Linked DNA regions of Macaca mulatta. The protein of the gene in region 1 interacts with the protein of each later gene in a pairwise test. Links are inferred from orthologs where the notes say so. Each region holds a gene or a part of one and is shown in the gene's direction. Other genes may lie near its edges. The genes, in order: PTN and TAF1D.

Evidence for each region.
Region 2: the proteins of PTN (region 1) and TAF1D interact in a two-hybrid assay, tested with the Homo sapiens proteins (2 studies listed by BioGRID and IntAct). The link is inferred for Macaca mulatta from reciprocal best matches to the Homo sapiens genes PTN and TAF1D.

What each region holds. Positions count from the first base shown.
Region 1 is NC_133408.1:177,159,706-177,175,410, reverse strand, and holds the start of PTN (pleiotrophin precursor), read left to right. Parts: upstream 1-6,500; 5' UTR 6,501-6,515; intron 6,516-8,153; exon of another isoform or gene 8,154-8,382; 5' UTR 8,383-8,448; intron 8,449-15,705.
Region 2 is NC_133419.1:94,573,347-94,589,049, reverse strand, and holds TAF1D (TATA box-binding protein-associated factor RNA polymerase I subunit D), read left to right. Parts: upstream 1-5,921; 5' UTR 5,922-6,152; intron 6,153-8,113; 5' UTR 8,114-8,139; coding exon 8,140-8,207; intron 8,208-8,976; coding exon 8,977-9,367; intron 9,368-10,212; coding exon 10,213-10,388; intron 10,389-10,598; coding exon of another isoform or gene 10,599-10,629; exon of another isoform or gene 10,630-10,682; coding exon 10,683-10,740; intron 10,741-11,131; coding exon 11,132-11,242; coding exon of another isoform or gene 11,243-11,273; 3' UTR 11,274-12,441; downstream 12,442-15,703. Other genes in the region: C14H11orf54 (ester hydrolase C11orf54 homolog), read right to left, coding at 1-25. UniProt on the Homo sapiens protein: Component of the transcription factor SL1/TIF-IB complex, which is involved in the assembly of the PIC (preinitiation complex) during RNA polymerase I-dependent transcription.

The sequences.
Region 1 (15,705 bases):
CAATAAAATGCACCCATTTAAGTGTACAGTTTGATGACTTTTGACAAGTGTATATTCCATGTAATCACCACATTAGTAGAATATTTGGAAGTTCTATCAATTTCTCTCCCCCTCCCCAACTTGGAGTCCCAGGCAACCACTGATCCATATTTTGCCAGTGCAAACCCTTAGGGTTGCTTTTTCTAGAAATTCATATAATGAAATCAGCATATACAGTATGTGCTCATAAGTGTCTGGCTTGCTTTTCTCTGTGCAGTGTTTTTGAAGTTAATCCATATTTTTTTCATTTATCAGTAGATTATTCTTTTGTTGATGAATAATATCTCATTGAAAGGCTCTACTAAACTTTAATAATATGTTCATCAATTGATGGATTTCTAATTTGGAACTATTATGAATTAAGATGCTATGGGCATCTATGTACAAACCTCTTTTTGGAACACATATTTCTGTAGAGCAAATACCTAAGAGTGAACAGTCTAATATGTCTAGGAAAGTCTAATCATATGGTAGGTGCACGTTTAATTTATAAGAAGCTGTCAAATGGTTTTCCGAAGTGGTTGTACTATTTTACATTCCTACCAACACTTGGGATTTCCAGCCCTTTTAATTTTAGCTCTTTGGGTAGGTGTGTAGGTGGCAGCTCATTGAAGTTTTAGTTTGCTTTTCTTTGACAGGGCAAATGAAGGTATCCATTTCTCATATGCTTATTGGCATTTATATATTTTCTTTTGCAAAGTGTCTATTGAGGTCTTTTGCCTATTTTTTGTTGGATTGATTGGTTTCTGATTACTCGGTTAGCTTTGTCAGACATGTATTACGAGAATACTTGCATTCTCTGGATTGCCTTATTATGATTATTAATTAATGTCCCTTCCTTCCTTCCTTCCTTCCTTCCTTCCTTCCTTCCTTCCTTCCTTCCTTCCTTCCTTCCTTCCTTCCTCCCTCCCTCCCTCCCTCCCTCCCTCCCTCCCTCCTTCCTTCCTTCCCTCCCTCCCTCCTTCCTTCCCTCCTTCCTTCCTTTCTTCCTTCCTTCCTTCGCTCCTTCCTTCCTTTCTTTCTTTCTTTTTTCTTGACACGAAGTCTTACTTTGTCCCTCAGATTGGAGTGCAGTGGTGTGATCATAGCTCACTACAGCTTTGAACTCCTTGGCTCAACTGACCCCCCCACCTCACCCTTCCTAGCAGCTTGGACTATAGGCATGTACCACAACACTCAGCTAATTTTTTCAAAAAATTATTTTTTGTAGAGATGAGGTCTCGCTGTGTTGCCCAGGCTGGTCTCCAGTTCTCAGCCTCAAGTGATCTTCCCGCCTTGGACTCCCAGAGTGCTGGGATTACAGGTGTGAGCCACTGTGCCTGGCCTATTATGTTTAATGATGGCTTTCAAAGAGTAAAATTTTAATTTTGATGAAGCCTAATTTATCAATATTTTAATAACAGTTTGTAATTTTTACATGCTAGCTGAGAAATCTTTGCCTACCCCAAAATAACAAAGATTTTCTCTTATTACATTGTAGAAATGTCATAGCATTTGCTTTTATGTTTAGCCCTTTAATTCATTTTGAGTTAATTTTTCTCTATGATCTCAGAGTTTATGTCTTTCCATATGGATATCCAGTTCTTTCAGCATCATTTGCTGGACAACCTATCCTTTCCCCATTGAAAAATGTTTATTTCTATTTGTGAACTGACCATTGTTTCCTATTGTTCTGTAAGTCTATCTTTATGCCAGTACTGTATAATAATCTTGATTATTGTAGGTTTATAGTGAGACCAAGTAGAGTCCTCTATCTTTTTTTTAATTTCAAAAATTGTTTGCCTAGTCTATGTCCTTTGCACTTCCGTATAAACTTTGGTTTTAGATTGTCAATTTCTATAAAGGCACTTATTGGGATTTGGCTTTAATGATATTTATAGATAAATAGACAAAGAATGTATGTCATAACAATCTTAAATTTTCAAATTGCTGAACATGATGAATCTCTCTATTTAGGTGTTTTATAAGTTATCTCAGAAATGTTCTGTGGTTTTCAATGAATAAGGCTTGAAAATATTTTGCTAAAGTTATCCCTAAGTGTCTCTCTCTTTCTCTCTTTCTCTTTCTTTCTTTCTTTCTCTTTCTCTTTTTCTTTTTCTTTCTTTCTCTTTCTTTCCTTCTTTCCTTCCTTCCTTCCTTCCTTCTTTCTTTTCTTTTCTTTTCTTTCTTTCTTTCTTTCTTTCTTTCTTTCTTTCTTTCTTTCTTTCTTTCTTTCTTTCTTTCTTTCTTTCTTTCTTTTCTTTCTTTCCTTCCTTCCTTCCTTCCTTCTTTCCTTCTTTCCTTCTTTCCTTCCTTCCTTCCTTCCTTCCTTCCTTCCTTCCTTCCTTCCTTCCTTCCTTCCTTCCTTCCTTCTCTTTCCTTCTTTCCTTCTTCTTTCCTTCTTTCCTTCTTTTCTTTCTCTCTCTCTCTCTTTTGTTCGACAGAGCCTCACTCTGTTGCCAGACTGGAGTGCAGTGGTGTGATCTCACCTCACTGCAACCTCTGCCTCCCAGGTTCAATCGATTCTCCTGCCTCAGCCTCCCGAGTAGCTGGGATTACAGGCAGGTGCCACCACGCCCAGCTAATTTTTGTATTTTTAGTAGAGATGGGGTTTCACCATGTTGGCCAGGATGGTCTCGATCTCTTGGCCTCATGGTCTGCCCACCTCGGCCCCCCAAAGTGCTGGGATTACAGGCATAAACCACCAAATATTTCATATTTTGATAATTGTTCATCATTAGAAATAAAATTGATCTTTATAGTATTGACTTGTATCCAAGTGAAGTCACAAATTAGTTCTAGAAGCTTTTCTGTGCATTTTTGATCAATGTCTACGTATATACTCAAGTTATCTGAAAATAAAGTGAACCATGCCCCTCCTTTTCATGTTTTTTTCTTTTTCTGGACTTATTTTATTGGCTAATATTTCTCATTTAATATAGAATAAAAATGGTAAGAGTGGCAATTCTTGCCTTGTTCTTGATTTTAGGTGGAAAGTATTTACTTTCCCTATTAAGTATCCTTTAGCTTTCTGTGGACATCTCTTATCAGAATAAGAGTAGTCATTCATATTCTTAAGTTAATGAATTTTAAATTATGAATGGATGTTGAATTTTGTCAGATGCTTTTCCTATATATATTAATGTATTCCCTTTTCCCCCTGCTTAATCTTTAAATATGAATTTTACTTTTTACATGTAAAACCAAACTTGCACTCCTGAAATAAATATCCAATATGATGCATAGTATTACACTTTTTATACATTAATCACATTGATATGATGATATTCGTTAAAGACTTTTGCATCCATGTTCATTTTATATTTTGCTCTGTATATTTGGTTTTCTTGTAATGTATGATCAAACTTCTTTTGACATTTCAGGTCTAGTTTTCTGTGTAAGTCTGAGTGAGGTCATTGTCCAAGACCTCCTCTTTCAGAACCTTGATTTTAGCAGTTCTTGGCAAAAAAGACAAGATTGAGGGTCTTAAGTCAAGCTGCTTAGATTCATAAGACACTGATAAAGTCCAAATTTATAACTTTTTAGGGAGAAATTGTAGCAAGCTTTGTTTGCTTCCCAAATTCTGTTTGCCTCTTCCTTGTGCTGACATAGCCTGTGTGGCTATGTGACTAGAGAAGCTGACCTACTCTGCACTAGAATTTGGGTCTATTTTAAACTTTTTAAGCCAAATATGATTGGAGCTCCTTAAAATCATATTGAAGAGCATTGGGCTGCAAATTTGAAAATGCCGAGTCAAAAGATAGAAAGACTTCAGTTCTTGAAGACTTTGAAGCATTGACTATCCACTTGTGTTGTTTGTGAGATAAATTCCTAGAATTTCTAAGCCATTGTTGTTTGCTTTATGTTTTTTAATGAAAAATCATAATTATTATAAAAATGTATCTAATATAGAAGTAAATTTTGTAATCTTGCCACATCAATAAAAAACAAAGTAAAAGATTTGTTTTTATTACCTTTCAAATATTTCAGAGAGAGGGAGAGAGATGTATTAATGGGGCTTCTAGAATGCTGTGAAAGTTTGATGAATTGTCCTTTTACATTCTAGGGATACTGAAGAACCTGGAGTGGCAATCAAGAATTCTAAACATCTTGTCAAGTAGGCAATCAAAGAGACAAGCTGGCAAATTTTTCATCAGGTTCCTTCACCTTTTTTAACTTCATGTTGATCACACTGCTCCTTGCATTTGCCACTGCAAAATCAGCAGCCTCATTTTCAAAATACCCTTGGGACATGTTATAATTTCTGTGATTTCAAATCACCTTGCATTAGTTATATTTTGGCCTGGTAACACTCATGCAAGGGGCATGTTCATTACACCTGGAGAGGCTGAGAACTGACATTAGCAAGCCGAAGATACTGCTGACAGGAGCTTGTGTAGGCAGAGAAAGTACTAAAGAGCAAGTTTGGAGTTGATTATTTTGCACAAGAAACAGGAACAAGGGGAAGACTTTTGAGGAGTGGGTTAGTGCAGTAGCCTCCTACTGGGCTGTCTGCTTCCAGCCTCATCCTCCTGTGCTCTATTCAACACAGCAGAGAGGACGTTTTAAACCAGAGTCAGGTTTAGTCACTCTTCATGGCTTCCCACCTCATTCAGAGCAAAAATGAAATTCCTTACAGTGGACAAAGGTCATAGGTGATCTGGCCCATTACTTTCCTTAATGCCTGCCTCCTCTCACTGAGTTCCTGCCACGGTGGCCTCCTTTTCTTCCCCAAAAAACTTGGGGCAAGGTCAGACATCAGAGTCTTTGCCTTTGTTGATGCCTTTGCCTACAAGCTCTTCCCCCAAATATTTACTTGGCCAGCATCCTCAATTCTTCTAAGTCTTCTGTCAAATATCATCCCAATGAGATTTTCTCCCCCAAATTGACACTTTATCTTCCATCATTGCCTTATTTTTTCATGTTACTTATCACATCTATTAAAAAATTTTAATTGACTCATTAAGAATAGAAACATAGGGCTGGATGCGGTGGTGCACGCCTATAATCCCAGCATTTTGTGAGGCCAAGGTGGGTGGATCACCTGAGGTCAGGAGTTTGAGACCAGCCTGACCAACATGGAGAAACCCCATCTCTACTAAAAATACAAAATTAGCCAAGCGTGGTGGCACATGCCTGTAATCCCAGCTACTCGGGAGCCTGTAGCAAGAGAATTGCTTGAACCTGGGTGAGCCAAGATCACGCCATTGCGCTCCAGCCTGGGCAACAAGAGTGAAACTCCATCTCAAAAAAAAAAAAAAAAAAAAAGAAAGAACAACAACATAGGCTATCTGAGAGTAGGGATTGTCAACAGTTTTTCTTCATGGTTCTATTAAGCTAAAGACTTAAGTGCTTAAAGGATATTAGCCTAATGAATGAAATAACTTGGACTCTGGAATCAATAGACCCTAGACTATGCCCTAGAATGAAATTTGGATTTGAAATTGAGTATTTCACTGTGTATTAAAAAAACATATTCTACTTCAACTTTCATGAAAATGCTGGATTGAATTAAATTATGACTAATCCCAATCTCATAAATTTCTATTTATTAAAAAAACACAAACTCTCTTTAATCTGTCTTTGCATTTTTAAAATACCGTGGCGAATAACATTAGGTTTTCTTAACTTCAACCCTGTTAACATTTTGGGCCAAATAATTCTTTGTTGTGGAGGTGTCAGAGGCGGTTGAACTAGAGCAACTCCATCTTGAATAGGAGCTGGTTAAAATAAGGCTGATACCTACTGGGCTTCATTGCCAGGAGGTTAGGCATTCTAAGTCACAGGATGAGATAGGAGGTTGGCACAAGATACAGGTCATAAGGAACTTGCTGATAAAACAGCTTGTTGTAAAGAAGGCAGCCAAAGCCCACCAAAACAAAGATGGCCAGGAGAGTGATCTCTGGTTGTCCTCACTGCTCATTATATGCTAATTATAACACATTAGCATGCCAAAAGTCACTCCCACCAGCACCAGGACAGTTTACAAATGCCATGGCAATGTCAGGAAGTTACCATATATGGTCTAAAAAGGGGAGGAACCCTCAGTTCTGGGAGCTGCCTACCTCTTTCCAGGAAAATTCATGAATAAACTACCCCTTGTTTAGCATACAATCAGGAAATGACCATAAAGGTGGATAGCCAGCAGCCACTGGGGCAGCTTTGCCTATGGAGTAGGCATTGTATGATGTTTAACTATGCATTGTATGATGTTTAACAGCATCCCCAGCTTCTACCCACTAGATGCCAGAGCAACCTCTTCCCCCAATTTGCGACAACCAAGACTATCTCCAGACATTATTCACTTTTCCTGGAGGGCAAAATTGCTCCCAATTGATAATCACTGATGTATGCAATTTTAGTATACACCTATCTGAATAAAGGGTGATATTTTTGATATAACATATGTAATTGAGTAGAAATCATAGGACTCTCCTGCTTACTTTATCAACCCTATAGAGAGCACCTCAATCAAGCCAGCATTGTTCACCTAACTGGTAGCTAGCTGTATGTTACATTTGTGTATATATATATAGTATATACATTTGTATGTACGTATGTTACATATGTTAAAGCTGAAGAACAGAAAGAAAATGAATAGCTCTTTGTTCAATGCCTTAGAAACTTTGCCCCTGTGGAGTGTTAATAGAATGCTGAGACATCTTTTTCTGTAAAGGGACTGGGCAAAATACTTATAAAAATGACAATGTGCATTCTGCCACACTTTATACAGGTGAAATCCGATTAAAACAAACAATGCTTTCTTCACACGGAAGTGGAATCACAAAAGGAAAATAGGTAACCTGAAGCCTGTGTATAGAAGAAAGGAACACAGCTTCCTTATTTAGTTATTTCATTTGAGAATTGTATGTGGTATGTGTATGAAGGGTTTGGGAAGGGGGATAAACTGTATGTGTGTAAGTGCATCTCTGATGCTGTTCCTTTTGAAAAGCTTGACTGACTGCTTGATTGAGTTTGTAGAGCCACCTCTTTGGTTCCAGCTAACTTCTCCAAGGGACATTTCTACAGGTAGCAGTCAATATAAGAGCCCCAAGTCCCTAAAAACTACTTGCCACAAGACAATGCTTCTAGTTTGGGGGTTTAAGGATAGTTCTAAGTAAATACGTTGCTTAATAAATATTTGTCAAATTGAAATGAACGGATGTAACCTCAGAACTATGAAAAATGCGAGTCTCTTTTACAAGCAATTTGGGATGGATGCCATCAAATGATAAGCTGAGCAGTAAAAGTAGGTAAAAGGAACTAACCAAGGAGCAGGAAAAGCTGATAAGTGGCAGAAAATCTCAAAATTTACATTTTTAAAATGTTTGGGTGAATTTGTGTAATACGTCTTAATCCTTTTACACAATACTTTTATCTCATCTATATCATAAATATTTACCTATGCATTGCCTTAGCATCTTTCCTCAATTGAATGAAATGAAAATTCCAGAGAGATGCAAAGTCCAGCCTCCAAGTTTTACAAACCTCAGAGTTTGAGCTACATTGACGAATCCTCTAAATTCTTGGGTGTCAAAGGCATGTTACTGAATAGGTTGCTAAACGTGCCAAGGAAACCAAAAAAGGAAAGAGCTCTCCCTAAAGGTAAGTAGCACTTAATTGGGAACTTTCAGACGTCTGTCACTCTGTGACAATTGAGAAAAAGTACTTTGTACATTTTGTGCTTTGCAGGTGAGATGTGACTGACAGCTGGGTAACTGCCTCTGTGTATAGGGAGGGCTTTCGTGGGTGGAAGAAGAGGCTGGTTCGAAGAGAGTGCTTTTTCATCCTGAATATCATTAAAGGATTGTGGGGGGCCAAAACTGTAACCTAAAATGCCATCAATTGTCCATTTAAAATATTCTATTTGGCAAAGTGGCTTTGCACTCATCTGAAGAATAGATCATGGGTGGAGTTTGGAAAAGAAATGTTGTGTTTGGTCTCTGCTAGAAACAAAACAAGGTACCATCTCATGGCCTCTTGGTTCAAATCCGTTTTCTTTCTTGCTCCGCGGGGAGAGACTGCCCCTGGAGTATTCTGCTTTTAATAAGCTTCCCAATCAGCTCTCGAGTGCAAAACGCTCTCCCTCCCTCGCCCAGCCTGCGTCCTCCTGGCCCGCTCCTCTCATCCCTCCCATTCTCCATTTCCCTTCCGTTCCCTCCCTGTCAGGGCGTAATTGAGTCAAAGGCAGGATCAGGTTCCCCGCCTTCCAGTCCAAAAATCCCGCCAAGAGAGCCCCAGAGCAGAGGAAAATCCAAAGTGGAGAGAGGGGAAGAAAGAGACCAGTGAGTCATCCGTCCAGAAGGCGGGGAGAGCAGCAGCAGACCAAGCAGGAGCTGCAGCGAGCCGGGTACCTGGACTCAGCCGTAGCAACCTCGCCCCTTGCAACAAAGGCAGACTGAGCGCCAGAGGGGACGTTTGCAACTCAAAGTAAGTGAGAGGAATGTGCGATTTCTCGGAGGGCTCTTCGATCGAGTTTGCCTTCACCTTGTGCCACTTTTCTGGGTACCAACACATGATGGTGGTAGGAGTGAGAGAGGCTGCCCGGTGTCTTTGCTGATAGGACTGCTTTCAAAACTGACTTGCTCCAGAGGCCAAGGGAGGCGTATTTTGGGGGTTTCAGGTTAGGTTAGTTAGGGTGTGCTTAGGTAAGTGAAAGGAAAGAAGTTTTTGTGATGTTAAGCGTGCATTTGGACCGTGTTCCAGCGGTGGGCTGGAGAGTGCACCTTTGCTTTTCGTAAAACCTGGAGCTTTAGTAGGTGTGTCTCTGGCTGAGTAGTTGGAGAGAAAGTACGGCAGCCTGAACAAGCAGCTCTCATTTTCCCAACCTCTCTCTGATTCTCTGATTGCCCCAGGGCCCGCCAGCCCATGACTCTTAGCTGGCATTTCTAGGTAAGCGCTGCGGGTTTGTTCCTCCCAGTGCTCGCTGACATGGAACCTCTCTCACAGCACTAGTGGCACCCGTCTTCCCACCTGACAGCCCAGGAATGGTTCCAGAAATGGTTAGAACCGAAGTTTAGAAGACACATCTGGAGTCCCGTCTCTCGTTTGAATGCAAATTTAAAGAACTGCCCTGTACATAGACCCATTAAACTTTTAATTTGACCCACATAAATTTAGGATATATTTGTTACTAATTTACTAGATTTTTAGAGTTTCTGAGTTGTTGTTTCTAATAAGTTAAGAAAATATTTTTTGGGAGGAATATATTCAACTCCTTTCTTACTTAATAGATGTAAAGTGAAGCCTTCTCTCTCCTCTCCATACACACACACACCCCTTTCTCCATGACATAACACAACACACACACACAGGAACACATACATGCAATTTATATACACTCTAGTGTTAACTCACCCTTGTGTCTATTAAGAGCTGCTTTGTAAGTTTGGGGACACATTCAGAAAATAGGAGGGATAGGGGTCCTAAGAGGAGAGAACATTAAAGCTCCAGTCCTTGAACATTTCTCATGTTAAGAGTCACCAGGCATTTTGCTTTAGCAGCCTGAGAAAGGGGTGATGTGTGCATGTGCGTGTGTGTGTGTGTGTGTGTGTGTGCTGGAGAGAGGGGTACGGGAGGAGATTCAGGAATTACCAAAAAGAACTTTTGAACTAATAACATAATGAAGCAATTTTATGATCGTAGGCAAATGTGGAATTGATGAAACAGCAGGGCCCATGTTAGCCCCTTAATTATCTGGGAATGCGTTGATATGTAGGAATATTAAAAGGTAATGACAATGAAACAAAACAGAAGTCTCCCAGTGCAGAAAATAAAGCTGTGTTTTCCATCTTCGTTATGTTTCCTTTTAAGTAAATTATGCACTTTAAAGGCCAAGTCATTTAAAAAATATAGTCCAGTTAAATTCAGAGGAAATTTGAATTTCTTTGCTTCCTTTGGGACATGAGTTATTTCAGACTGGCAATATTTGTACTCTTTCATTTAAATTAGAAGGTGAGATTTTAAAAAATTGTATTATTTAAAAAAAGAACAACTCTAATACCATTCTTTTGTGCTTTAAGAAACTTGGGCCTTAAGTTCTCTAATTGTACTTTAAATACATAGAAGGTGATCTTTTCTCTGCCACTGCTCACTGGTTCCCTTTAGGACATCTTTTTCTGCATTTAGTGAAAAGTCACTATAAGGAACTCCCACCTGAAGCCACATATAACAGCATTAGGTGCTGTGTTCCAGCTGTTTGCTTCTGGATGCAAATGCATTATGTTCTCAAAGCTAGAGCTTGAGATAAATAAAAGCCCTATTAAATATATGACTTTTTAATTATCTGACTTTAAATGAGATATTGTAGAGAATTAGAGTAATAAGGTATACCTAACTGTACTTATAGTCTAATGTATTATATATAATTCTCTGTTTTTTAGACCTCTTTCCATGAGATCATGAGATTTGGAATAATAAACTTATTAATTTATTGATATTTTCCATGTGCCTTATTTTGGCTTCACTTATAGCAACACATAACAAGATCTGCATTTTCATTGTTTTTAAAATTTCAGTCAAATCAATGGCCTGGTTTAAAATTTCATAAAACCTAGTTGTTGAAAACAACAGAGAGAAATAAGATCCCCAGATAGTTGAATCATTTTTATAAAATAAAATCAATCTTAGATATCAAATATTTTAACTTCAAATATTTTATTTTTCCTTTGAAGATATTCTTGCTTTCTCACTTATATGACATTCTCACATGAATTCTGATCATCTTCCCATTGTGATGTGGTGTTTTTAATTACTATTCAAAACTTTCCCACAAAACTGAGTTTACCTGGCTCGTTGAAAATGGTGTGATAAATTAACAATAGATTGAAGGCCTGAAGTCTAAATTTGGAATAAAAATTCTACTTCTCTAAACGATTATGCCTTTTAATATGGCAGCATAATGATATGGGAAGTTGTTCCTGACTTCTCTCCGGAAGGAGGTGTCCAGACTGAAACCACCCAATGTGATGAGTGCAAACGTCCTCCACACCTGAGTGCAACTCGGCCCAGTTTGAGATGTGCTTTTCTCTGGAGCATGAGGCTGAGTGGGAGCCCTCCAATGGCCTTTGTTCCATGGCTTTGCTAATGATGTTGAGTTGGGCTTCTTCACAAGGGTGAGGAATGTTTTTTCCTCTGGCTTCTTTTCTAAATGAATAATCGAAGAGATTTTGTCTCCTTCTGGCACAAGGTCATATCACTGCTGTGGGAGGGGAGGTAAAATGATACTCAGATATGAACCTTTTTTTATGAGCTAGGCTTGCTTTTTTCCATTCAGAGTCAATTGGCTTAAGTGGAATTTGGGCCATGGCCTCATGGAAAGTTGTCTTTCCGTCTGATGTTTATGGACAATTCAAGTTTCCACCCACTGGGCAATTTTTCCATCCACTTCAAGCCAGTCTAGTGTGCGGCATAGATTTCATGGTGTCATTAAAATATTTCTAGATTGTAAAATATAACAAGCCTCTTTTTTTTTCTATTTTGGCATTTAATAAATAAGAGATTAAAACAGTAGCTTAAAAGGGTAGCTATGCTGAAACATTATCAGAGGGTATTATAAACATGGTAATATTGTGGACTTAATTATGTAGATCACATTCACCACAAATCCCTATTTCTTCAGGGTGGACAAGGAATACAATGACTCCTTCATGTTTGAGATATTTTTAGAAATAAAATTTAATTCCTTTTTCTAGGCTTTATTTATTGAACCTTTTTTTTCATAGTGGTTTAGATAAAGTGATATCTCAAATAGAAAAAACATCATATCCAGTTTTCTAAAAATAGAATTCTTAGATTTTTTTTCACTTCACACATGGTGTAACAAAAAATCAATTTCTATATATTAATCTTGAAAGAAGTAAGTCATAGTAACTGATAATTGGGCTCTTAATTCTAAGAATTGCTTTTAGCAAAAGCCAAAACATCATTTTAAAACACAAATAGCATTCTGGGTCTCTAACCCTTTGCTCCCTTTTCTTCCTGCTTTTATGTTGACCTATTTCTCCTCCTTTCTCTCATTTCTCTATTAATTCTGTTGCCACTATTTCCCACCCAACAGGTCCCAGAACGTCTTGCCCAATTCCCTCTTGCTATGATGGCATACATTTCTCTATGTACAGATGTACCAGCAATGTTTGTCCATATGTTGGCATTCTTGGAAACTTGGACCTTCCTAGCTGGTGTTTTCAACTTGGACCTTCCTAGCTGGTGTTTTCAATGCCCTCTCTACTGATTCAGTGGTATTTTCCCCTTTTCTTTTTTGACTCAAGACCCTGGCTAAGGGTCAGCCAACATTTTCATTGCTGCAATGTGTTGACCTCATTCTCTTCTCAGCTTCCCAGTATCAATGTAGCGGTGCAGCTAGAGTTACTCATCTCCATCACATCCTCTTGGGGTCCTAATCCAACAATACAATTTTTCTTGCTCCTATGGCCAGCCAGTTTAACAATATTTATTGTATGTATGTTGGATGCCTAATACTACATTGTGCTGGACAATGTAGCATGTTTAAGAAATAGAACATGGTGTCTGTCTCTATGGTTCGACAATATCTAATACTTTGTGTTTGGTAAGTGGTGTGAACTTGTGAAATTCTTTATTAGAAATGTATTTAAAGGAGATCTCAATTAAAATCCATTATGCCCTCACCCATCTCTGGAAAAGATGCTTTAAAAGTCACAGGTTGCTAACCCCAACCTTTTATGATTATCTCATAACCTCCTTGATATGTTATTATCTTAATATTTTCCTAATTTCTTTGGGCACTCCTTTTTTCACCTTTTGTTTTGCTTTTTTTTTCCCTCGTCTTCCAAATGTGTACATTTATTTCCAAATATTTCAGTTCCCCGCCTTCCTCTCTCCTCTCCAAATGCTTCAGTATTGTCACAACTGTTCTTCGAGCTTTAACTCTTTCACAAGGAAAATTCTCAAATCTGAAGAGAATTGGAGGAAGATTCTCTGTAATGAGCTCTAGACTCACATTTTTAATATTTTTTCAATGAATACTGAAGGAAATCATTCGGGCACAATTCTATTTTGAGGAGGAGATTGAAGTAAAGGACTTCTTGTTATTTTATTTTTATCCCTACCAGACTTTTATGGATAGTGACTGCTGTACTCTATGGTAGGTGGTGTGATGAGGGACACAGGACAAATAAATATGTCTTCAAGCAGCTAATGATCTACTCAATATATATGTAAGAATATTAAAACACTAATTACTACAACACAAGTTAGAATAAGATATGTACAACTGTTGCCCTAAGCAGTTCCAATGTCAAAGGGATCACATTTTTATGAGAAAAAGGAAAGGGGAGCTCACAAAAGGCTAAATGGTACCCAACATCTATTTCAAAAGCATTACGTCTGTTAATTCCTTTAATGCTGTTTATTCTGGAAGATAAATTGAACTCTTAATTCCTTCGTGTTTTCATTTCACATTTGCCACATAACGTAGCAGAAACAAATTATTGGAAGTGCCATCTTAAGAATTCAGACTGAGTTTTATTTAGAATCAATACAATTTTTAAGACATGGCACTCACTGTAGATGTCATTTTCAGGAAAATTTATACCAGACGAGAAGAGTGTCCTTTAATGAAAACATATACATGAAGGAAAAGAAGGCAAATCCTTGTACTTCAGCTGTGGAATTTGGATGAAATCTTGAGTCAGAAATTGAAGGCACCAAAGGTTTTCCAAGGCAAATGCCCCTCTAGGTGGAGCTGTATTTCTCCCCTTCTCTTTTCTTCAAAGTCTCCCCGTCACCGTCACCCCTTATAGTGACTTCAGCTCCTCCTTTCTCACCATTTGACACCAGCCCCACCCCATCCAACCTATGTACCCTATTAAGGCAGAGGCTGTGTCTCATTCTCTCAAGAACCCTAGCATATTTAGCATAGAACCATTGAAGATGGCAAATGAACGAGAAAATAAATAGGCAGCTCTAAATGCCTTTCATTCTCTTTGCCCATGTTGTTCCACCCACCTTGACCGTCTGTGTTCTATGCCTAATCCCCTCGCCTTACCAAACAACCTGGTGCCTATTTCCTGTTTAAGCCCAAGCATTCCCATGCTCAACTTTGAACCTCCAGAAACTTCTCCCACTCTCTTTCCTTCACTCTCTTCATTCCAAATGTCATATAGGCTTGCCAGTTCTCTAGAGTGTCTTCCTAATCATATTTCACCTTGATAATTTTAAACTTTTCATAGTTTCTGATTCAAGACTACCTCCAGAATGCAGAAAACTTTACTTACCACTTCTTTAACAAACCATGTTATTCAAAGTGACAAAGCTAGTCATTTGAAGCATTATTTTCATTATAACTTCTATGTAGCTATAAGGTCTTTTTCTCAGAATGTTTCACATTTATTTTTTCATCATATTTTTGTAACTCTACTCAGGTAGACTGAGTGGGATTTTTAAAAAATTGATACAGAAATGCAGGCTTAGAGAAGTTAAGGGGGCCACATTCAATGACATACAGATATGAAAACAAAAGTCTTAAAATTCCTGGTTTGAGTTTATTCCTCGGTAATATAATGCCATCTTTCTTAGGCTAATAAATTGATTTTATCTCCCATTTGTCTCTCATGTCAAACCCCAAGTCCAATGTATGTACAGTTAGAGGTCAAATAACCTACAGAAGCAGTTGCCTGTCTTCAATGTTTATCAGATTAACTAGGGTCATGTGTAGGTGCCAGCTGCCTGGAGCCCATCTTCAGTGGTTCTGACTTAAGAGGTGGATTTGAGAAAATTGCGGACACCACCTGATTTGCTACTGACTTCACTGAAGTTCCCTTAAGCGTAAACTGGACATATGACAGGGCATGTGGATACAGATGATACATTAGAAAAAGTAGCCTTGGCCAGGCGCAGTGGCTCACGCCTGTAATCCCAGCACTTTGGGAGGCCGAGGCGGGTGGATCACGAGGTCGGGAGATCAAGACCATCCTGGCTAACACGGTGAAATCCCGTCTTTACTAAAAAATACGAAAAAAATTAGATGGGCGTGGTGGCCTGTAGTCCCAGCTACTCGGGAGGCTGAGGCAGGAGAATGGCGTGAACCCGGGAGGCGGAGCTTGCAGTGAGTCAAGATCGCGCCACTGCCCTCCAGCCTGGGCAACAGAGCGACACTCCGTCTGAAAAAAAAAAAAAAAAAAGAAACGGTAGCCTTGGTGGCTCAATATTTGAGCTACAAGGTCCAAAATATTGAGGTATAAATTACTACACTTCTTAGTAGCTCTGTGACCATGAGCAAATATTGTGGTCTTCCTTATTTCAATGTTTTTATCTCTAACGTGGGAGCACATACTTACCTTCTAGGACTGACATCTGAATAGTAATGGAGAAAATCAATGTGAAGTACTGAACATACAGTCTGATTGCTGGGAGTGTTTGAGCAGGAAGGTGAAAATGATGATCATGGTGAAGCAGCACCAGATGCAAGTTCTCACTTCTTCCCCCTCCTGAATTGCTTTTCTTTCTCATGCCCACTTGGCATCTGCAACAAACATACAAGCAAAATCCTAGGCGGAATTCCATGCTTCTTGAAAGATCTCGCACCTCCACATGCTCATACCATTTTCTTCCTTCTTTCTAAATGCAGATTGAAAATCCTTTCTTCTGGAAGGAAACATATGGAGCATGGAGCATGTGATCATGCTCAAGGCCTGGGGGTTGGGCAGG
Region 2 (15,703 bases), on another chromosome or scaffold:
GAAAAGAAAACTCAGCACAAGTCATTTTCTTTCTTCTTTAGGTGTGAGGTTGGACAAATAGAGTTACTCTTGGTTAATTATCACAAGAGTCCACAGTGCACCAAGTATGAACTGCTTCTGTTTTGGAAATGAACCTTTAGCATTCAAACATATAAACAGAACAAAAGGGCATTTAGGTTTCTATCTTCACAAAAAGTCAAACACAGCTTCTAGTATTTAATATTCCAAGTGAGAAACAGACAAGTGACCTTTTAATACTTATACTTTATTTTATTTTAATTTAAAATTTAAAACTAATTTTTTAATAGAAACACGATCTTGCCATGTTGCCTAGGCTGATCCTGAATTCCTGGTCTCAAGCGATCCTCCCACCTCTGCCTCCCAAAATGCTGGGATTACAAGTGTGAGTTACTGCTCCCGGCCAATTCATTTTCTTTTTTAAAATCATATAGCTGGAGTGAACATCCAATTTTCTAATGGTTGGTCTAAGGAATATAGGTCTTGAAGCAAAAGGTACTTATTAGGAGTTTATGGATAAGTGTTTAAATGGTTGTAGATAACAGTACATATAGGATTTGTACAGTACAGATAGGATCTCAAGTATTTCTATAATAGATATGTGTGTTTTCTATTCTATATTTCACATTTAGGCCAAAAATTAAATGAGCTCCTTAGACTATCATTTTGTCAAAATAAAATTTAAATTACAAATACGAATGGAAACTTTTATGGAATGATTAGCCTTTGAAATTCAAATTTTTATTTTCATTTACAAATAAATATACTTTCTTGGTAAACAGATTTAATGTTCAATTCTGATAATCTACCCAATTATAATTTGATAGTTAAATATATGCTTTTCTATCATTGCAACTAAAAAATAAAATACATACCAAGTATACTTTGTAACAAATAAGTACACATACACATAGATTATTATCTTACCTTAAGTGTTCAGTGATGAAGTGTGCAACCAGAGGGAGATAAAATGAAGGCAGGGAAAAATACAAGTAATATGAGGTAGACAGGTATCCTACTCCAGGCCAATCACAACAGGGAACACAGACAAGACTCTTAAGGGTGTTTCTAAGAGTACTGCAGGAGTTTTCATTAAAATTGTTAATAGAACACTTCATTAATCTGAGTGGCCTCTGCCCTTAATATGCCTATTTAGCAAGTGGAAAGGCGATCTTCAGTCATCTGAAATATTCTTCTAAATTTTTTTTTCTAATTTTCCAAAGAGTCGTAGGTTGTTTAGAAACTGGGTTTCTAGTTCCGGTACTTTTCAACAACATATCCTCTATAACCATTCTATTACATACCTTTAGGATGTTACATTTACTTCAGTACTTTATCAAATACCAGCTTTTATTGTTCTTGATTTAATATATGTAATCTAATCTCCCAAATATATATAACTGTTTATAAAGCGTCCCAAATCTTTTTTTTTTTTTTTTTTGAGATGGAGTCTCGCTGTCACCCAGGCTGGAGTGCACTATGGCACCATCTTGGCTCACTGCAACTTCCACCTCCCAGGTTCAAGTGATTCTCCTGTCTCAGTCTCCCTAGTGGCTGGGATTACAGGCGTGTGCCATCACGCCCGGCTAATTTTTTGTATTTTAGTAGAAACGGGGTTTCACCATGTTGCCCAGGCTAGTCTCAAACTCCTGAGCTCAAGCAAATCCACTTGCCTCGGACTCCCAAAGTGCTAGGATTACAGGCGTGAGCCACCACGCCCGGCCCCCAAATCTTACATAATCATACTTAAATTATTTTAAACAGAGTTTTGTGTGAGGAAAAGAGAGATCAGACTGTCACTGTGTCTATGCGGAAAAGGAAGACAAAAGGAACTCCATTTTGATCTGTACAAAGAAAAATTGTTCTGATTTGAGATGCTGTTAATCTGTAACTTTAGTCCCAACCCTGTGATCACAGAAACATGTGCTGTATTGAATCAAGGTTTAAGGGATTTAGGGCTGTGCAGGATGTGCCTTGTTAACAATATATTTGCAGACAGTATGCCTGGTGAAAGTCATCGCCATTCTCCATTCTCTATTAACCAGGGACATGATGCACCACGGAAAGCTGCAGGGACCTCTACCCGAGAAAGCCTGGGTATTGTCCAAGGTTTCCCCCCACTGAGACAGCCTGAGATATGGCCTCGTGGGAAGGGAAAGACCTAACCGTCCCCCAGCCCCACACCCATAAAGGATCTGTGCTGAGGAGGATTAGTAAAAGAGGAAGGCCTCTTTGCTGTTGAGATAAGAGGAAGGCCTCTGTTTCCTGCATATCCCTGGGAACGGAATGTCTCCGTGTAAAGCCGCCTATTCGTTCTATTCTGATACAGGAGAAAACCATGCTGTGGCTGGAGAGGAGATATGCTGGCAGCAATACTGCTCTGTTACTCTTTGCTACACTTAGATGTCTGGGTAAAGAGAAACATAAATCCAGCCTATGTACACGTCCAGGCACGGTACCTTCCCTTGAACGTATTTATGACGCAGATTCCTTTACTCACGTTTTCCTGCTGACCTTCTCCCCACCATCACCCTGTTGTCCTGTCATACTCCCCTTTCCGAGACAGTGAAAATAGTAATCAATAAATAGTGAGGGAACTCGGAGACCAGTGCCGGTGCCGGTCCCCTGGGCCCACTGTTCTTTCTCTATACTTTGTCTCTGTGTCTTATTTCTTTTCTCAGTCTCTTGTCCCACCTGACAAGAAATACCCACATGAGTGGAGGGGCAGGCCCCTTCAGTTTTGGGTTGAATAATTTATAATTGTTCAGGAATGAGACAGTTTAACTTTTTCTTTTAAATAATTTTAGATTAACAGATATTACATACAAATAATTCCTGTATATTCTTCACCCAGATTTCCCAAATGTTAACATTTTATCACATTCTTTATCAAACAAACATTGGGTACTTATTTATGAACACGTCAAAATCTGCACAACGAATAGTATATTCATTTATAATGATAATAAAAGCACTTTAGATATTTTTGCTGGCAGTAGGAATAAAAACACAAGTTAAAATCCAAATGTAATCTTAATTTTATTCCCTTTATTATCTCTTTTCTTTAGTAAAAAGTTAGGTCAGTTGTTTCTGTTTATTTATGCCCCTACCAAAGTAGAAACAAAGTCCAATCCTGGGAGGATGTAGCTTGAATAACTGGTTTAGAAATGTACTTATTAGGAGTCCTTACTAGGGATTTGTGGATAAGTGTTTAAATGGTTGTGGATAACAGTGCATACAGGACTCTCAAGTATTTCTATAACAGATATTTGAGCTTTCTACTCTATATTTGACATTTAGACAAAAAATTAAATGAGTTCCTTAGCCTATCACTTTTTCATAATAAAATTTAAATTATGAAGGCCCGTCCAATCCTAAAATGAGGTGAACTTCAGGCAGGGTGATGGCACTGTAGGCAGTGTGGTAGCACGTGTATGTGTGTGTTGGAGGTGGGGAGAGGGTTACAGTTGGAGCTGAGAAAGGGGTTAGGTTCTCACATAAACTCCAGGAACATAGCCTTGGGCCAGATAGAGGCAAACAATATTTTCCTACCTAATTGGTGGGAGGCGATGGCCCAGAAATAGGGTCTAGAAAGGAAATGGAGCTGCAGAGGTTAACACCTGAAGGGGTAGACCAACTATCGCAACTAAACTGGTTACCATTTGAGTGCACACTGTGTACCAGACACCATTAGACACTGTGCAGACATTCTCTCAACTTTTCACAACCATGACAGATTGTGAGACAGGTTGTGGGTCTTCAGGAGTCGCGGGCATCCCTCAGACACAGCCGCACGGCCTGCATGGAGTTCGCTCCTGCCGGCGACCACTCGCTCGGGCTCCAGCATCTGCTCACCCCTACGCACCCTCCCATAAAGGGTGGGGCGCAGCAGGCCTGAGTGAGTGGAGTTCCTAGCTTCCAGCACTCCAGTTCCCGCCTCATTCACTCGCGCGCCCCTTCCCGCGAGGAGTCGAGAGCTACGGGCTGAGAAAGGGAGACACCGCAGCCCCAAGAACCGCGAAGGGGTCTGAGAAATATCTTGCTTCAACTGCACTCCAGCCTGGGTGACAGCGCAAGACCGTCTCTATAAAACAAAGGAATATGAAATGTGGCCGGGCGCGGTGGTTCACGCCTGTACTCCCAGCACTTTGGGAGGCCGAGGCAGGTGGATCACTTGAGGTCAGGAGTTTGAGACCTGCCTGGCCAACATGGTGAAATCTAGTCTCTACTAAAAGTACAAAAATTAGCCGGGTGTGGTGGCGGGCGCCTGTAGTCCCAGCCACTTGGGAAACTGAGGTGGGTGGATCTCTTGAGCCTGGGAGGTGGGGGTTGCAGTGAGCTGAGATCCGGCCACTGCACTCCAGCCTGGGCTACAGAGCAAGACTCCGTCTCTTAAAAAAAAAAAAAAAAAAAAGAAAAAATACAAAATGAAATGTGAAATTTCAGTGATTCTGCATTAGGAGTTAATTGTTCCTTCCCTTTAATACCACTTTTCCCCTTCTTTTTGGACAAGGGACGCTGCATTTACATTTTGCATTGAGCCTCACAAATTACACAGCTAGGCTTGCTGCTGAATATGGCAGTGAAGGACATGCCATACCAGTCCTGGAGCTTAGTCACTGCCCAGCCCCTGTGGATCAAATGCAGTGTCAGACTTTTTATCCCCGAAATTGTCCAATCTATGGAGCAAAGGAGGGTAAAGAGACCAGATTACTTTTAAGGCACGCTCTATCCTAAAATGATGTAAACTATAAAATAAGATTAGACAGCTTTACTGGTTTTTGCGGTGTATCATATGAAAACAGAAGTTTGAAACCAGAAAAATCAAACCAGTTCAATCCTTTTAAAAATTTCTTTGGGAGGCCGGTGGCTCACGCCTGTAATCCCAGCACTTTGGGAGGCCGAGGCGGGTGGATCACCTGAGGTCAGGAGTTCGAGACCAGCCTGACCAACATGGAGAAACCCCGTGTCTCCTAAAAGTACAAAAAAATTAGCAGGGCATGGTGGCACATGCCTGTAATCTCAGCTACTTGGGAGGCTGAGGCAGGAGAATCGCTTGAACCCGGGAAGCGGAGGTTGCGGTGAGCCAAGATCGCGCCATTGCACTCCAGCCTGGGCAACAAGAGCGAAACTCGGTCTCAAAAAAACCCCAAAAAACCGAAAAACAAAAAAAAAACCAAAAAACTTTCGAAGAAAAAAACCCCACCAAAACTAAACTAGTTTACACAGCTTAATCTTAACTCAGGAACTGGTCAAGGAACTAATGGTGGGGGGCGGGGAGGATGTAGGAGGAAACAGGAAAAAGAAATCCTCCACAGGTCTCACTTGTGACGTGTTAGCCAATTCCTGGGAGGCAGAAAGGGTGAGCTCCCGAAACAGGTGCAAAGGTGGGGAGGAGACCTGGGCGTGCTACGGCATAACACTGGCGTCCAGCACAAAGGTTACAAACTTCGAGTAACCTTCCCGAATATTTTCACACACAAGGGTTTTGAAGGCAAAAGTAGACACAGGATGACAAAACACTCATTCACACATCCCACCCGTCACCCTCACCACATACTCTGGACCAGGTTTAGAAAGCCGGGAGACAGCTCAGCAAACGCGAGACCACCGGAAACGACCCGGGCTGAGAGGCTGTTTCCTCGCAGTTCTCATCCACTCACAATTGGCCGCACATTTTCTTTTTGTTATTTGCCGAAATGTTCTTGGCTATTCCACTTACCGAATCGGTCACGCAAGCAAAACACCAGAATCCCGATCTCCGCCTACGCCAACCCCGCCTCCTCAGAGTAAGCGAGCTACAGCTCCGCCCACGTTAGTCGCTCCTCCCTGCGCGGCGAGAAAAATGGCGCCCCCGCGTCGCGACTCCTCCCACCGCTCGCCTTCTTCCCGGGAGCTAAATTGTATCGCGAGATTTCTGCCTGACTATTACTTGGGCCGCGGGGATATCCCACCCTTTTCTTCCGCGCGGTTGGAGGACATCGGCTAGTTTTCCGGAGTTGGAGGACTGAAATCGGGAGGGTGGTGTGTGCAAATCTCCAGGACTCACGCACCAGGCCAGTCGCAGGTTTTGGCCCGAGGCCTGGGTTACGGGCAGCAAGTGCGCGGTTGGGGCCGGTGTGAGGCGGTTTTAGGTAGGTTGCCAAGAGGGCAAGGCCGTCTGGGCTTGTTGGGCAGGGGAGGCATTGCATATCTGGGGTTTCGGCCCCTGCGTTGTTCCGGAGGATTGAGCCTCGGAAGTCGGGCCGAGAGGGTGAAGGGATCACGGTTGCAGGCCACTCCGCGCCACGCGGCTGGTATGAGGCCCACAAACGTGGTTGTAGTGTGGGCGGGCTTCATTATATCTTGAGATGGAGGTGTTAAAACGTGTTGCAGACAAGTTTAACCTTCTTAACGTAATTTAAATGATTTAACCTTCATATGTGAGGTACCCATTGGTAGCGCCGGTTTCCTGGAGGTTAGGCGCTGCCCGGAGAGACGCGCTGGTGGTCACAGAATTAGCTCCGGGTAAAGCGCCGCTTTCTGCCCACGTGGCCTCTAAGAATTGCAGAATTCCAGCGGATGCATCGACACCCAAGTAGGAGTGTCTTCTAAACACTAAGAAAAAAGTGATTCTTGAGCTAGCTTTATTTTGATAATCCCTACTTTAAAAAAAAATTAGCCACAGGTATACCATTAATGCATGGGGCCAAATTTTTGTTGAATTCCGTTTTTGAGCATTCGATATATAATGACTTCGTAGAATCCTGTACTTAAGCTAATAAGACGTACTACCAGAAAATTACCACAGGGGTCCATTGGGCATTTAACAAATCTGAGCTCTTGGTAACCTTATCGTTTTATATTTTAAATGTTTTGCTAGTTCATCCTAGGATTTATATGCAATGACTCATGTTAGGTCCCAAGAAGCTACAGAATGAGACAAGAGATTGACTAAGGCAAGTACAATAGTGAAATAAGTAGTTATCCTTCATTTTTGTTGCCATGCCTATTTTTTTTTTTTTTTTTTTTCTGAGACAGGGTCTTGTTCTGTCGTCCAGGCTGGGGTGCAGTGGTGCAATCTCGGCTCACTGCAACCTCCACCTCTGCTCAAGCGATCCTCCCGAGTGGCTGGGAGCACAGGCACGGGTCACCACACCTAGGCAGTATCTTAAGAATTTTTTGTAGAGACAAGGGTCTCCTTGTGTGCTGAGGCTCACTACATACAACTTCCACCTCCCAGGCTCAGGTATTCACCTACCTCAGCCTCCTGACCACAGGCGCGCGCCACTAGCCCGGCTAATTTTTGTATTTTTTGTAGAGACGGAGTTTCACCACGTTGCCCAGGTTGGTCTTGAGCTCCTGGGCTCAAGCGATCCGCCCGCCTCGACCTCCCAAAGTGCTGTGTTACACAGGCCTGAGCCACCCAGACCAACCTGTTTTTTCTTTTAGCTCACAAGAAGGAATCTTTTTTTTCTTCTTTTTTTGGCATGTTGTATACTCTACCATGGGGATGAAAACACAAAGAATTATGATAGTTTATTGAAAAAGGTTGAGAATTCAGAACTTGTCAGTTTCCACCAATAATGGCAAAGATACAATATGACAAAGTTCAGTTACTTAAATGAATCTAGGAATGAAGAATCTAGGAATTATAATGGAGAGGTGATCAGGAGTTTAAAATGGTCTGTTGATTGGAGATCCTTTTCCTGGTTTATATAGGGCACATTTTGCCTTAGGAATTCCCTCTTTGATCTTGGAAAATGGTTTTTAATTTTACATTAATACTGTATTGGTAATTGCACGTTAGTAAGTGGCTAATGATAAAACTGTATTTTCTACTTATATTGAAAGATGCTTTTTTTGGAAGTGACAGTACTTTTTTGGAATCTTGTTCCATTGAATACATTTAGAGGGTAAAAACTGAAAGAACCTGTGAATAGAATTTCTGGATTTCTTTTTAAAGAAATTGATCTGAAATGGATAAGAAGCTTAACCCCGGCAAATGATTTTGCCTAAAATCAGTGGCATAGTCTGACCATGTTGAATACTATAGTAGATACTGTGTCAATATTTAGGGAAGCTTTGTCACATTTACTAAATTTCATAATTTCAGAAAACTGTTATAAAACAAAGCAACTGATGGATAAATCAGGAATAGATTCTACCGACCATGTGACATCTGATGCTATGGAACTTGCAAATCAAAGGTAAGTGGGTTTTTACTGGAGAACTGAGTGGATTCAATCATATTTATTGTATCTGAATTATGAGAAATTATTTTATATAATGAGTGACAGTAAAGATGATTTTCAGGAATTGGGAAAGAAGGAAAACCAGATTTCACTGACCTTCCAGGTTTATCTAGTTAATGTAGATTGATAATAGCATTGCAAATACTTTAAATTCAAAATGTGAATATATTATAATGGGACACATTCTTCAAGAAAAAAATGTATTCTTTGGGTCATATTAGCATCTCTTCCAGACTACCTCTTCCTGTTTCTGTCTGGTAGGCTGTGTTTGTTTTACTCACTCTTAGCAGTGAACGGAACCATACAGCCTTTGTGGAGCTCATACGTTATCTTGAAAGATACATAGTTTTTTTCTAAGCTGAGCACAGTGGTGCATGCCATTAGTCCTAGCTAGCTACTTGGGAGGCTGAGTCAGGAGCATCCCTGGAGTTCCAGGAGTTTGAGGTTGCAGTGAGCTGTGATTGCACCACTGTACTCCAGTCTGGGTAACAGCAAGACGATGTCTACAAAACTCTTTTTAATAAGAGCTGTAGCTTTATGAGCTATTTAAGTAGGATGGTCAGCAGAAAGGCAGCTGGTTCTGAGCCCATCCTTTAAAAAATTTTTAATTCTGGATATGTTTTCCTGAGTTGGTCTTGGAAGAAATGTATATTTGGGACTGGGTATTACTGGTAATAAGCATTCAGTAAGAAAGAGGAAATTAATTTTTTTCTCATTTTTCTAGTGATAACTCTTCTGATAGCAGCTTATTTAAAACTCAGTGTATCCCTTACTCACCTAAACGGGGGAAAAGAAACCCCATTCGAAAATTTGTTCGTACACCTGAAAGTGTTCACGCAAGTGATTCATCAAGTGACTCATCTTTTGAACCAATACCATTGACTATAAAAGCTATTTTTGAAAGATTCAAGAACAGGAAAAAGAAGTACAAAAAAAAGAAAAAGAAGAGGTACCAGCCAACAGGAAGACCAAGGGGAAGACCAGAAGGAAGGAGAAATCCTATATCCTCACTAATAGATAAAAAGAAACAATTTAGAAGCAAAGGATCTGGCTTCCCATTTTTAGAATCAGAGAATGAAAAAAACCCGCCTTGGAGAAAAATTTTAACGTTTGAGGTGAGTCAGCATTTTATATATATGGCTACACATAACTCAGATGCCCAAAATGATTTGTTGGCCAGTTTAGAATTGTCTCAGATATGCTGGGAACACACTGTCCGCAATTTCGATACTCTTCTATACTGACTTCCCCCTAAAGTCCACCCCATCCTTTAACTGAAACTTGACTTGTATCTCTTCAATTACTACACTTTGGCCAGATTTAAAAGATAGTGCTCCAAGGCTCTTTGTATAAAATGCTTTGATCTCATCCCATCTCAGGTCTTAAACACAACCCTAAAACTCAGTAGGGATAATAAAAGCTCACATGAAATTATTTTTGCAGTAACCTAAACCAAAACCACACATGCCTTATGTTCAGTGGATACATTCTTAAGGCCTAGGTATTTCTAAGCCAGTCATCTGAAAAATACCCTAATACTTAGGAGTAGACTTTTTTAAAATATTTGAGAGTTGTATGTTGAATGAATGCAGAGTTTCAGGTTCTTGCCAGAACCTGAAATTTTATCTGGGAGGATTAATACATGTTAATCTCTTCAGTTAATCTCTTAAGGTGATTATAGTAAACATTAGAAATCTTATTCCTGTTTTTACATTTTAAAATGCCTTTAGTAAGTCCCAGGCATGACAAGATATGTAGTACTTCACTTTTCCTTTGTACCAGCTTAGGTAAGTTTATAATTGTAATGTGAATTTTAATAAACAGCATTTGATATATCCACAAGTGGGGAGTAGTTAAGATAGCAAATTCAGAGTCTTTGGTAAGGGGGGTGTTGAACATTGGCACTTGCTGGGTTGTGAAAGAAAAATCTTGACATACTTACGGTGTTTTTAATATATAGCAAGCTGTTGCAAGAGGATTTTTTAACTACATTGAAAAACTGAAGTATGAACACCACCTGAAAGAATCATTGAAACAAATGGATGTTGGTGAAGATTTAGAAAATGAAGATTTTGATAGTCGTAGATACAAATTTTTGGATGATGATGGATCCATTTCTCCTATTGAGGAGTCAGCGTAAGTGGAATCATATGAAATAGGTTATAAATTAAATTTTATGTTAATTGCTTCATTTTTTGCCTTTAATATAGTTATACTTAAATAATGAACAAAGATAGAGTATGACACTTGGGATTATTACAGTTGAGCCAAGCTTAGCACACAGTACATCTAGAATTCTCTAGAACACAGCATTCTCAAATTTTGTTTGCTTGACTAGTATTGCAGTTTCAGTTTTCAGAGTGGAATACACAGCTAATGAGGTCATAGAAGATTCTGTCATCTCAATGATGATAAATTTTAATGTTACAGAGCAGAGGATGAGGATGCAAAACATCTTGAAGATAATGAATGTGATATCAAATTGGCAGTAAGTGACTTTTCTGTTCCATTTTGGGAAGGCAGGAGTTGGTTGGTACAGAAGGAATTGTATTTAGTTTTTCTCTTACACTTCATTTAACTTTTGAAAAGCTCAGTAAGTTTACTGCAGGAAATGCAGGAAGGAAAATACTAATTTTTTAGAGACTTGATAAAGAACATGGGGTTTCCAGTACTATTTTTAATAATTAGCATTCTGATACGTAATATTGCTAGTTAGGATATCAAATGAAAAAATAAGCAGATGTTAATTTAGATTTTTAACATCTACATGTAGTCTCTAGGTTATCTGAAGTAATCCAGGGCACTCAGCTATATGTAATTACTAAGCCATTTGAGTTATTGCTTAATCCATTATTTTTTTGTTTGTTTGTTTTATGCAGGGGGATAGTTTCATAGTAAGTTCTGAATTCCCTGTAAGACTGAGTGTATACTTAGAAGAAGAGGATAGTACTGAAGAAGCTGCTTTGTCTAAAAAGAGCTACAAAAGCTAAAAATACTGGACAGAGAGCCCTGAAAATGTGACAGGATCATGAATGTCAAAGGTGAAGCATATAGAAAAAACAACTTCATAGAAATGAATAAAGATGATAAATGTGGATATATATATACCAGTCTGGTGGTGAAGAAATGCTGAAACCCAGAACTTTATAACAAAAAAAATTTCAACCCTGTGAAGAAGTTTGTGAAAGAAACTTGTGAAGTAGTAGTAATTAGAAAAAAAACCCATTAAAACACCAGAGAAAATACATAGAAAAATTTGAAAAATTGTCAGTTGATTTCTGAATAAGAGCTTGCAGGTGTCCTGTGAGTATTACAACAGTGAAGTGTAGTGATTTTAATTTTGAAAAGAAAATCTTAGACAAAATAACTTGACACCCAACCATCTTCAAGAGGGTATTTGAAATGCTCTTATTCCAGCTTTGTTCAGACATGACAAAAGTGACCTCTCAGATGTTTAGTATTGTAATAACCTCATTTCCCTTCCCAAATTTAGAGTATCTTTAACACTTTTTTTCTTTTTTTTTAAAGACAGTTCTTGATCTGTCACCCAGGCTGTAGTGCAGTGGTGCAGTCTTGGCTTACTGGAGCCTCTGTCTCCCAGGTTCAAGCAATTCTGCCACAGCCTCCTGAGTAGCTGGGATTATAGGCGTTAGCCACCACACCCAGCTAATGTTTGTATTTTTAGTAGAGACAGGGTTTCACCATGGTCTTGAACTCCTGACTTCAGGCGATCTGCCTGCCTTGGCCTCCCAAAGTGCTGGGATTACAGGCGTGAGCCACGGCACCTGGACTAATATTACTTTGAACTACCATTTTCACTTTATTAGTTCAAGAAAAGGCATACACATTTATTTAACATGGACACACAGGGAGAACCACAGTGATTACCCCAATGTTCATTATTTTGATCACGATAAAGCTGACTATGTAGTGCATTTTAGGACTGCACTTAACGTATGTTTTTGTTTAATGTGGACAAAGACTTATGGATAGGTGCAAAAAATAAATCCTCTTTTGCAACCCAGAACTCATTGTTCAGTATGAGTTTTGATACATATAAGAAGGGATATTATGATACCTGAGACAGTTATAAAGGTTGGTTCCAGGCCAGGTGCAATGGCTCAAGTCTGCAGTCCCCACATTGCTTAAAACCAGGAGTTCAAGACCAGCCTGGGCATCTCCACAAAAATTGAAAAATTAGCTGGGTAATGGGGCATGTGCCTGTAGTTGGAGCTACTCAGAAAGGGGAGGTTGAGGCAAAAGGATTGAGCCCAAGAATTGGGGGCTGCACTGAACTTTGATGGCATCACTACTCCAGCCTGGGTAACAAAGACAGACACTGTCTCTTAAGAAAAAAAGGTTGATTCTAGGACTGTAGAATAGATAAACAGCATGGATATGAGGGAAATCCTCAGCAGTATTAATTTTGCATTCCAATTTCATGTTGACGATATATATGATGGCTTTTTGTTTTAAAGGCTTTTATCTTGAGAACATGATGTCTGGAGTTAAAGGTATGTCTCAATTTGAGTTGTCACATATTTATGTGTAGGAAACAGTATGTTGTCAGAGCAAGCAAGTTTCATTTTATTCAGAGACATTTCTACCATACTTTTAATTCCCAATTATATTGATTTCTGAAAAGAATCCTAGATTCTTCTTAGTGATGTGTCAGATTCATTTTAGTTGCAAGCATTAGAGGATTCTGAATTTGTTAGTTTGTAGCAATAATCGGAACTTTGGAATTCCTACTTGAAGCCTACAACATTATTTTGTATTAATGTACAATCTAAAGTGAGGTAGAGGATTTTATGGTTTAATGCAAATATAGTATAATAAAAGATTACATAGGTCATAAGAATTCATAAATTTGAATGATGCAGAGTTTGATTAAAAGTTATATAATGCCAAAGTCATAACTTACAGACACATTTTCCTGTATTTTATAATGGATGACAACTAATTTTGAACCAAGAATTAAAATTTGCTGAAATCTTTGAAATGGGAAAACAACATCCTCTATTTGCAGTATTGAAGTTCATAACAAGAGTTATGCTTTAAACTTAAATCTTAAGTTTAAATCCTTTTCCTTTGGCTCATCTACAGGAGCTACTTGATGGTATTTATTTTTATTTTTCATTCCTCTGGCTCCTAAGCACAATGTGATTGTGAAATTATTGTTTTTGTAATTAAGGTGGTAGGAAGTTTTTACAGTTTGCAATATTGTAAGAGCATATTGCAGTTTCTGCTCATAATTTTTTCCTATGGAGTGTTAGACTTTGTTATTTATATATATAAATACTAGCTGGGCACAGTGGTGCCTGCGGTCCCCAGCTACTCTGGAGGCTAAGGCAGGATAATCCCTTGAGCCCAGTGGTTCGAGGCTACAATGAGATGTGATCCTGCCACATCTCACTGTAGCCTCAAACCCTTGGGCTCAAGCGATTCAGCAAGAATCACACGATTTTCAAAAGACACGGCATATCCTGTGTCTTTAAAAAAAAAATCAAAACCTTGTAAATAGTGGTTGAGGTCTATCCCGATGGGGCTTTTCCTGTAGCCTGCACGTCGTTGGAAACGCCTCATAGAGTAACTCTGTGGTTTTACTTTACTCACAGGACTATTGTTAGGTCTGTGGGAAGGAACTACAAGACAGTTGCTAAAAGTTTTAACGTTATGAAAAACCAGATAATTTACTTTTTTACCTTAGGTATTGGAAAAAACCACACATCTGTACCATTCTTGAGTGATCGCTTAGGTAAGTTTTAATTGGTGACAGTATAATCTTTTGGGAAATATGATTACAGTTCAGATGATGAATTTAACTGTTCAACTGCTGAATGATAAGGGCATGAACTAAAACTTAATTCTGACAGAGCTGGATGTGGCTATATAAAACTGGATCTTAAATTTATACTTGGGTATTAGTTTTAATAACTGGAAATATATCCTTTCTAAATCTTTAATTGGTACTTTCTATAGGAATGAATGTGATTTGAACTCATTCATGTTGAGAGGTAAGTAAAATATTTAACTTTTAATAATCAAGGACTCAAAAGATGAAAAATAGAAATTAAGTACACCATCCCAGTATTTCAGGTATAACACAGAATTAGTAAGATACTGGCAAAAATGTTACTATATATTTGTATAGAGAAGGAAAATGAAGAGACTGCATGTCTAGACCTACCAAATGAAATTACCTGTGTTCTTTGCATTGTTATTGAACTGGCAGTTACACATACTTCATCCTAAAGTCACGTAAACCTGTATGGATATGTTGAATCAATAGGGATATGAATTACATTAAAAGAGGTTTGTGTAACTGGCAGTTTGAGCAACAATGAGCTTGACATTTGTAGTCTGCTTGATCTGTTAAGTTACATGTATATATTCCATTTGTAAGTTATATGGAGACTGGGCAAAGATTAGGAAAAGACTAGAGTTGTAGCTTAAAATACAGTTAATGCAGCTTATTACAGTGACAATTAGGAAAAAAGGTCAAATTATTGTACTTGTTAAAGGAACTTGAATTTGAGAGGTTTGTGAAAGCTTTTCTCAGTAGAAACATTGCACATTTGGGAATACGAATATGAATATGAATGTGACAGTTCAGTCATAATTGCACTGCATGGTATCTGCACTCAGCAGTTTACTCCTGCTAGGGTGTTCAAAGGTCAGTGCTATAGAAATTCAGTATCTGGCATCGTTGGTTTTCTTGGCTTTGTGCTTGTTAAACCTGGTATTTCTATTGATACAGTATTTGTATAGGTTCCTCAGTGTTCAGTTTGATATACTCTAAAATAGTAAGCAATGCTTTTCTTTTTCCAGGGTGTCAAATTGAGAACCAGGCAGATCCCCACCACCTACAATCAAAAGGTAAGATTCTCTGTTAATATTGATTCTGCTTGTTTCCCTCTATTGGTAGCATTGCCAGCGTAACAAGGACTTCGTACAAATACACTACTAAGCTTTAAAGAAACTTCTACAATGCCTCATTCTAGATGAGAATGGGCACTGCTGATCATCATGGTGTCCAAAAATAGTTAATGTGGCTAAATTGAGACAGGTTATGCTTCCATCACAGTATGCATATTGCAGTGGTGACAATGAGACCTGTAACATTTTGCCATGCTTATGAGTAAAATATGTGGGAGAAAAATGTTGACTTTTCAATATTAGAAACAATAAGTTTCTATTGTTTCTGTTATTATTTCGATATTTCGGTATGTTTCTGTGTTATTCTATATGTTATTTCTAAGTTTCTATGTTATTATTTAGGTAATAAGGAATTTTCAGCTCTTAATAGGACCACTTTCTTTTGTATGCTATCTATTGACTGAAACATTGTAATGTACATGACTGTGTCTTGGATCAGGTGTCAAAATATTTGTACTTTGTACAATTCAACTTCTAGGACCCTAAAGCAAATTGGTTGAAGAAATTAGATC